Arabidopsis thaliana: one gene and its partner. The protein of the gene in region 1 interacts with the protein of each later gene in a pairwise test. Each region holds a gene or a part of one and is shown in the gene's direction. Other genes may lie near its edges. The genes, in order: LEC1 and NF-YC11.

Region 1 (4,451 bases):
TTTCTTCTCTTCTCATTGAGGTAACATATGGCCATGATATAGCTATTAAGCCTACGGGATTGTCATTTCAACGCCGGATCTACCAAACTGTTCCATCTCTTATTATATATAGTTTGGTTATTTAAGTAATTAGATGCATCATAATCTTTTTTTCTGCCAGTTGTAATGCAGATAAAAATATATTGGTTGTTCTAAGGATTGTTCAAACGTGCATGTGTACAAGTTATTATTTATATACTTTCATCTACATGCGATGCGTTATTTATAATGATATAACTAAGATTTTTAGTTAAATTTAATAAAGAGCTTACGAGCTACAATTAATTAGAAATGGTTGCTCAGAAATCAGAATACTATATATGAAAAAAGAAGTTGGTATACTTGAAAAAAGAAAAAACTACTTGAAAAGATGGTAAAAGATATAGAACGAGTATATATCTTACTCAAGCACGATAGAAGTTTGTATCAAAACATTGCGTTCCAAACCAATGTTTGAAGATGGTCAAAGGTGCTACTCATGATGTATGCGAAGAAGCTTACAAAAAATTCTGCAATGAGAGATAACTTTATGGGCTGCTTGTTCAATATATTGAAAATCATGGTAGACAACACCAAACTCTCCTTTACCAGAAGTCATATTTCCTTAACCTCAGAATAAGTAAATCTTCTAGTTTATTATTTGAAAGTTGAGCGTATAATTGCAATGAAACTTTTACCAATTCACCGCCTCCTAACTGAGTTGTTGTATTATCCTATCTCTTTAGCTATCCTTTCCTTGCTCTTGCTCCACCTGCATGTGGCCTCTTTATTTATAATCTCTCTAGATTCTGCTAAAGATGTATGTTCAAAATGGTTTATCTTTAAGGGAAGCAAAGTGAATGGAAACATTTAAAGAAAAAAAAAACTTTTAGCAGAGTTCCATGAGATTTCATACTGATGATAACTAAAATAATCTTATATGCGTAAGATTATTTTAGTTCTAAACTTCATTTTGAAATGAGAGGTCATTGGCCAGGAAAGATTCAATATTGGTTCTTTGTTAATTCTCGTTGGTTTGTTTTTAGTATGGGCTAGATCCAAAACAGGTCATGGACTGGGCCGTAAACTCTATCCAAAATTCTTCATGTTTTTCCATCTTTCAAAAATCTTTATCCACCATTCCATTACTAGGGTGTTGGTTTTATTTTATTTGTTGATTAATTATGTATTAGAAAATGTAAAGCAATATTCAATTGTAACATGCATCATCTAACACCAATATCTTGTACTAACCTTTTGTAATTTTCCTATAAACACTTTAAAAGGCTAATTTAAATAAAAATTACAATAAACGTGATAACTCACTTTCGTAACGCATATTTATTCAAATATACCAAAATTTACCATTTTAAGTAAGAGAATCTTTTTAAAACTAATTTTCAATTTCATTAATTAAGAAACAAAGAATTTAGTGAAACCTATATTTTATTAAATTTTAATAAAATATATGACTAAAATAACGTCACGTCAATCTTTCTCAGCCGTTCGATAATCGAATACTTTATTGACTAAATAAATAGAAAATGTTAAACAACATTTAATTTATATAAACAAAGAGAGCCTCATATGTATAAAAATCTTCTTCTTATCTTTCTTTCTTTCTTAATAGTCTTTATTTTTACTTAATTACTTTGGTAATTTGTGAAAAAAAACAACCAATGAGAGAAGAGCAGTTTGACTGGCCACATAGCCAATGAGACAAGCCAATGGGAAAGAGATATAGACCTCGTAAGAACCGCCTCCTTTGCCATTTGTATCATCTCTCTATAAAACCACTCAACCATCAACCTCTCTTTGCATGCAACAAATCACTCAAATAATTATTTTATAAAGAACAAAAAAAAAAAAAGACGGCAGAGAAACAATGGAACGTGGAGCTCCCTTCTCTCACTATCAGCTACCAAAATCCATCTCTGGTAATCTAAGTGGCTATTTTTATACAGTATATACTTGCCTCCATGTATATTTATATGCTCATGAAAAATTGGAGACATGCTTTATGAATTTTATGAGACTTTGCAACAACGAACTAAATGCTTTCTTTCTAGAAATTTTTAATTTAGATTTGTGAAGGTTTTGGGAATGGCCCGGAGAAGACGATTTTATATACATACATGCAAGAGTTTGATATGTATTGTTTCATCATGGCTGAGTCAAAGTTTTATCCAAATATTTCCATGGTGTGGTATTAGTTAAACAAATCTCTCGTATGTGTTCATTGAATATACCCGTGCATGTACCAGGAATGTTTTTGAGTATCGTTTTCTTTCTTTTATCAAAAAAAATTTCGATTCTAAAAACGTTTTTTTCTTTGTTGTAACGGTTGAGTTTTTTTCTTCGTTTCAAAACGAGATTCTCGTTTGTCTCTTCCCTTGTCTAAAAACATCTACGGTTCATGTGATTCAAAAACACTAAAAAAATAGAAACTCAAATTTTTTTAGTACTTAACATTTAAACTATATATATATATATATATATCTTATACTAGTCCCAAGTTTTAGTGTGAGGTTTTTTTATTCAAAATCTATCAGTAATTTTTTTGGAAAAAAACTAAGTGAAATTTTCTCCAAATTTTCCTTTTACTATTGATTTTTTAATTACTGGATGTCATTAACTCCAATCTTTTGATTCTTTCAACATTTACCATTGGGAACCTTCACATGAAATAAATGTCTACTTTATTGAGTCATACCTTCGTCTACATAAATTAATTGATGTTCTTCTCCAAATTTTGAGTTTTTGGTTTTTCTAATTAATAATCTAAGCGAAAGCTTTTTGGTATACATGTAAAACGTAACGGCAAGAATCTGAACAGTCTACTCAACGGGGTCCATAAGTCTAGAATGTAGACCCCACAAACTTACTCTTATCTTATTGGTCCGTAACTAAGAACGTGTCCCTTGATTCTCTTGTTTTCTTCTAATCCATTCGTATCCTACAAATTTAATCATCATTTCTACTTCAACTAATCTTTTTTATTTCCTAAAGATTTCAATTTCTCTCTGTATTTTCTATGAACAGAATTGAACTTGGACCAGCACAGCAACAACCCAACCCCAATGACCAGCTCAGTCGTAGTAGCCGGCGCCGGTGACAAGAACAATGGTATCGTGGTCCAGCAGCAACCACCATGTGTGGCTCGTGAGCAAGACCAATACATGCCAATCGCAAACGTCATAAGAATCATGCGTAAAACCTTACCGTCTCACGCCAAAATCTCTGACGACGCCAAAGAAACGATTCAAGAATGTGTCTCCGAGTACATCAGCTTCGTGACCGGTGAAGCCAACGAGCGTTGCCAACGTGAGCAACGTAAGACCATAACTGCTGAAGATATCCTTTGGGCTATGAGCAAGCTTGGGTTCGATAACTACGTGGACCCCCTCACCGTGTTCATTAACCGGTACCGTGAGATAGAGACCGATCGTGGTTCTGCACTTAGAGGTGAGCCACCGTCGTTGAGACAAACCTATGGAGGAAATGGTATTGGGTTTCACGGCCCATCTCATGGCCTACCTCCTCCGGGTCCTTATGGTTATGGTATGTTGGACCAATCCATGGTTATGGGAGGTGGTCGGTACTACCAAAACGGGTCGTCGGGTCAAGATGAATCCAGTGTTGGTGGTGGCTCTTCGTCTTCCATTAACGGAATGCCGGCTTTTGACCATTATGGTCAGTATAAGTGAAGATGGAATTATTCTTCATTTTTATATCTGTTCAAAACATGTGTTTGGATAGATATTTTATTTTTATGTCTTATCAATAACATTTCTATATAATGTTGCTTCTTTAAGGAAAAGTGTTGTATTTCAATACTTTATGAGAAACTGATTTATATATGCAAATGATTTAACCCAAACTGTTTTGTGGATTAAACTCTATGCAACATTATATATTTACATGATCTAAAGGTTTTGTAATTCAAAAGCTGTCATAGTTAGATGATAACTAAACATTGTAGGAACCAAGTTTAATTGACTTTTTTGAGTTTTACACAACTAAGCCAAAGGATTATAAAATCTAAATTCGTTGAGTTGTCAAACTTCTGAAGATTTATATCCTCTTTGAGTTTGCTTTCTTTTGGGTGCTTGAGTTTCATTAGGGTGATCCTGACTCGTTGCTCTCTGGTTTCTCCATCTCTGTCTTTTCCAAGGATTCATAACGTTGGTCGCTCTCTGTTTCTGCCTACACTTCTTCAAGGATCATTACTAAGACTAAGAGTTAAAGACCTTAGCCATGGTTTTCTGTAACTGGTTCAAGTTCATCTCCGGTTATTGGGTGGTTATCTTTCGGTTAGATTGAAACCCATATGCTTGCTCTGTTTCTTCTAGTTCCAAGTTTAATTTCCGGTTATTGTTTGGCTTTTTAAAGTTCTTAAAGGTCTATTCTATGTAAAGACTCTTTTGAAATTT
Region 2 (5,221 bases), on another chromosome or scaffold:
GGAAATCATTTAACTGGGTGCAAAAACATTTGATTGACCAATTTGGTACGTCGTGATTTTTTTTGTCCCATGTCAAATTAAACAAAATTGATAATATAATTCATCAAAGCGTATTTGTTTTTAATCAAAACGTTAGATAGTCTTTTAATATCAATGCCTTTATTACAAACGTAGTCTACATGTACTAATTTTCCAGTCAACATTCATAGTCACAAAATACGATAACATGAAAACTTTCATGAATTAGAAGAAGACGTTGATTGATAAAGAGAGAAGAACAACAACAAATTCAAATCACAAGATTAGCAGCAACTTTTAAGTTCCAGAGACGTTCCTCAACAGCGAGCTTAAAGCAAACATACGACTCAATCGACGCCTGAAGTACCTGATAATGGTTAAGGTTATAAACGCCCCAATCGCTCATACAAATCGCCGGATCTAACCTCACTCCTACGCGACCCAAACGCTCCTTCACGATCTGTTCAAACGAACAAAAACACATCCTAGCCCCTCTCGAATCTCTCACGAACATCCTTATGTCCAGAAGCTTCCCGATCTCCACTCGATGCCTACATTTCTCGAGTTTTTTCTGGTCTTGGCCGTTCCAAACGCCGACGAAAGTCGTTTTGGGATCGGCAAGGAAAGTGCGGAGGACTTTTGGGAGACCGTAATTGTAACCTAGTTGGATGATGAGACAGCGACTACCGACGCACAACTGGAGAGTTTTTGGTGGTGGATCTGGATCGGAACTATCCGGTCTCCACTGAACACCGATTCCAACGACGAGAGGATGTACCGAGTGATTACGGTTGTAGGAGCGGACGCTACGAATCCAGCGGCGGATAACGGAAGCAGTCGGCGTAACGGTGACGATCAAGTCGTCTCCGAAAAAATCGACAAAGTGTTTTTGGTGAGTACGGAAACTTCTGATTCTTTTGATCGTCGGAGCCATTGATCTGTCTTCTTCTTCCTTTCTCTAAATTTTTGAGCGAGTGTTAGAAAGAGAAGCGGTTTCTTTTTCTTGTTATAGGGTACATTTTTGTTTCTAGTTATAATCACCGTCGATCTTTGTAGTTTTAATCGTACGGTTGACAATGGAGATGCATGTACTGTCACATCGTCAGGCCTATCATAGATGTATACGCAAAACATTTACTAATTACTGTATTTTACGGCTCTGAATTTTTATTTTTATTTCCATAAAGGTTTGATGAAGACATGGAATATAATACTTTTTTACGTACTTCTTTTTACTAAAATAGTTTATTCAGTTATTTGGGGGCTTAATTAGGTAGATAACCATAACCTTTTTTTGTGTGTTTTTTTCACGAACAATGATTCACTGATGTAAAATCATAATTACTGATGAAGTTAACTTTCAACGTATAACGCTATGACGCAATTACTCTTGATATTTTTTCCTATATATTGGTTTGACAAAATTTTGTAACTTTAAATATAACTTCTGAAAAAATAAAAAAGTTGTAAATATAAATTCCACAACATTTTGTTTGGAACTTTGGATACATAGGCCACTTTGTTTTATCACACTTTATAATAAAGGTGGTTTCTGTTTTTTTTTTCTAAAATTCGACAGTTTGGTTTATAAGTATCTAAATTCAACTTGAAGACAAATAATTCTAACTTTATTTTATTTAAATTGTGATAAAAAAAAGTAACCCAAAACATATTTTTTGGTTCAGGCATATGTGTTACAACTTACAAGGATGCATTATCCTCAAACAAAATCCAATAAATAAAAAATAGAGAAGGTGGATGAAGATCTAAGAATTAATACTGTCACGAGAAAACGTATACAATCCACTAATACATAGCCACGTGTATGGTTAGATCTTTTCAAACAATCCGATTATATTTTGTGCTCCGCCGTATATTTATAACTAACATTACTTAATTAAATAACCATGTCGTCGACCCATTTTTTTTCTTTGACCCAAAACTTTAATTTGATTATATATATTTAATTTTAATTTTTCCATCGCACGGAGATTGTAACAAGGAAACCGCCGTCGCCGGATCTGATAGTGCATATCCATGAAGTAGAAGACGAAGAAACTTACTTTCTGATCTTAGAACGGAGTATATGTACAGAAGATTCGCGTCCCTCAATTTTTGATCTCAAGGGTCGGGTTTACCTTTTTTTCCTTCTTATTTTTGGTGGCTTTGCGTTTTCTCATTCGACGATTTCTGGATTTGGGGATTTCAAAACCATGAGGAAGAAGCTCGATACTCGGTTCCCAGCTGTAAGTTTTTCGTCTCTAATTGATCATTTCTGAAATTGAAGTCCAATTTCTCGGAAATTACTTTGATCTGTTGTTTTTCAGATCGAATTTCCAACACTATTTGGGATTAGATTAGTGTTCTACGATGAAAATTAGATTAAGTATCTCATTTCTGGCGAATTAGTTTTAGCAAATGACCTAGTAGTCAATTTCACCCTAATTTTTGTTGTGCTTGTTATATAGCTATAGTAATATGTGTTATGAAGATCCGCTATGGAATGTTTCATGTAAATTAGAGAATTCGAGAATTTAGGTGACTAGTGCTCGAAACGTGTTCTTTATCAACAAACCAGTCAGCTATTGGTTAGATAGTGTTGATTGAAGCAGGGATGTTATACACGAATTGTTTTTTCATAGGCTTGGAACTTTTTGTAGAGCTTCCAATTTGGCTAGCTAGATTTTGTTTAGCTTTATTGAATAAAACGTCAGATGATTTCATAAGTTGGTTATTGTTGATGGTGGTTTATTTTGTTTGAGCTGAGGCTAGAATATTAGTTTTTCACAGATTTTGACTTTCCATTTAATTTGTTAATATATTTTTGTTTGTATAATCTGATTGGTGATTGTACAGAGCGTGCTTGGTGTTTCTCAGTTCTACCATTTGCTTTATAATTCGTTTAGTAGTCTGTAATTATTGCCACACACACTGTGTGATGGTTGCTGTTTCTTCATTTGATGCATATATTACAATTTTTCAGGCTCGTATTAAAAAGATTATGCAAGCTGATGAGGATGTTGGCAAGATAGCTTTGGCAGTGCCTGTCTTAGTCTGTAAGTCATCTTGCTATCATTGACTTCAGTTTGAAAAGAGAATTATTGGAAACTTTACCCTTTGGCTAAATTTCATGTTCTCTTATTACAGCAAAATCTTTGGAGTTGTTCTTGCAAGACCTTTGTGATCGTACATATGAAATTACCCTTGAAAGAGGTGCCAAGACTGTGAGCTCATTGCACCTGTAAGTAACAGATTGGTTTACCTTTATTTTTGCTTTAACTCTGCATGCTAGCATCGTCATTATCTAAAGAGCATGAAAGGTTTCACTTGAATGCATTTTAAATTCTAGAGCTTTCAGATGTTGTAATTATTGATATTGTGGTTTAAGAGTTAACATGATGTTGTTAAGCGGAATAGCTTCCAACTCATAGGGCCTATTTTCACTGCATCCAACACCGAGAGGATGTTGTTTACTGTTACAGAATTTTATACCACAAATTTGGGATAAAGTTCTTATTTTTGCTCATCCATGTTTATCAAAGTGCTTTGTTGTTTACAGAAAACATTGTGTGGAAAGATATAACGTGTTTGATTTTCTGAGGGAAGTTGTGAGTAAGGTGCCTGACTATGGCCATTCCCAAGGGCAAGGACATGGTGATGTTACCATGGATGATCGCAGCATCTCCAAGAGAAGGTTGGATGTTTGATCTCTTAGTTCCATATGTTCTAGTTCTTTGTTTATAGTCCGTGTCAAGCTGATGTGAGATGGTTTATCAAAACAGGAAGCCCATCAGCGATGAAGTGAATGACAGTGACGAGGAATATAAGAAAAGCAAAACGGTGAGCTCGTGTTCTTCTTGAAATATTATACTTCATCATTCATTTGGTGTCTATTCCCAGCTCCTTAGATTCATTGAATATATTGGTAATCACTGCAGCAAGAGATAGGGAGTGCTAAGACCAGTGGCAGGGGTGGTAGAGGAAGAGGGCGAGGAAGAGGTCGTGGTGGACGAGCTGCAAAAGCAGCCGAAAGAGAGGGTCTCAACCGCGAGATGGAAGTAGAAGCCGCCAATTCTGGACAGCCACCACCAGAAGACAATGTCAAGATGCATGCGTCAGAGTCATCACCACAAGAGGATGAGAAGAAAGGCATCGACGGCACAGCAGCATCGAACGAAGACACCAAGCAACACCTTCAAAGTCCCAAAGAAGGCATTGACTTTGATCTCAACGCTGAATCCCTCGACCTAAACGAGACCAAACTGGCACCAGCCACAGGCACAACCACAACCACAACTGCAGCAACAGACTCTGAGGAGTATTCGGGCTGGCCTATGATGGACATAAGCAAAATGGATCCAGCACAGCTTGCTAGTCTGGGTAAGAGGATAGACGAGGATGAGGAAGATTATGACGAAGAAGGCTAAGTCATAACAGCACTATAGGATATATAGAGTAGCAGCGTTTAGCAGTTTGTCTAGAAAATGCTTCTTCTGTCATCAAAATCTTCTCCTGTTTCCATTTATTGTATGAACCAAAGATTGCATGCACTCTATGAAACTTAATTTATTCTCCTGATTTGTTATTTAAGGTTTTAGAGTTTTACATCAGAAGTTAAAATATCTTACAGAGTAAGTAAACACTCAAAAGTACATAAACAAAGGAGAGGGACTAGTCATGGTGTTGCTCCGCGTGGTTGAGATGAAGAGCACCTTCATGGTTCTTGTGAACTTCCACCTTGAACTTTTCCTCTTTTTCTCCCCTCTTCAACTTCAGTAGCATGTTGTATTTTGCAGCCTCGCCGGTTACCTGTGTCCATGTTTTTAATATTAAGCTCATTAATCTTGTAATCACCAACTATTACAACTCAGACGTTAGTCCTCATACCAAGGAGAACCAATATGTTGCTTAAAGTCTTTTCTACTTCTAAAACTTCAACACCATTCGGTTTCACTGACACTTGATTTCGTTTATTTGCAATTTCTCAGATGAAATTCATGCAAAAACATTGTCAAAATCTGACAAGTTCTCTATTGAAATTCATTTTGTGCAATTAAGATCGAAGATAGAGTATATAGTAAATTAAAGCCATACCTCAGCTTTAGCATGCACAACCTCCAGAAGTTCATAAGGGAACAAGGAGTTAGACCTCTGCTGAATGGTCTTGACAGCCTGCTCAGCAACATGCTTCACTTCTGGATCA

What was found.
Region 2: the proteins of LEC1 (region 1) and NF-YC11 interact in a two-hybrid assay, tested with the Arabidopsis thaliana proteins (one study listed by BioGRID).

The regions. Positions count from the first base shown.
Region 1 is NC_003070.9:7,727,024-7,731,474, reverse strand, and holds LEC1 (Histone superfamily protein), read left to right. Parts: upstream 1-1,825; 5' UTR 1,826-1,903; coding exon 1,904-1,955; intron 1,956-3,060; coding exon 3,061-3,725; 3' UTR 3,726-3,898; downstream 3,899-4,451. UniProt on the Arabidopsis thaliana protein: Component of the NF-Y/HAP transcription factor complex. The NF-Y complex stimulates the transcription of various genes by recognizing and binding to a CCAAT motif in promoters. Acts as a central regulator of the embryogenesis.
Region 2 is NC_003074.8:3,955,834-3,961,054, forward strand, and holds NF-YC11 (nuclear factor Y, subunit C11), read left to right. Parts: upstream 1-1,929; 5' UTR 1,930-2,231; coding exon 2,232-2,264; intron 2,265-3,001; coding exon 3,002-3,074; intron 3,075-3,165; coding exon 3,166-3,259; intron 3,260-3,577; coding exon 3,578-3,712; intron 3,713-3,800; coding exon 3,801-3,858; intron 3,859-3,956; coding exon 3,957-4,445; 3' UTR 4,446-4,639; downstream 4,640-5,221. Other genes in the region: AT3G12470 (Polynucleotidyl transferase, ribonuclease H-like superfamily protein), read right to left, coding at 290-952; CYSB (cystatin B), read right to left, coding at 4,690-4,827, 5,113-5,221.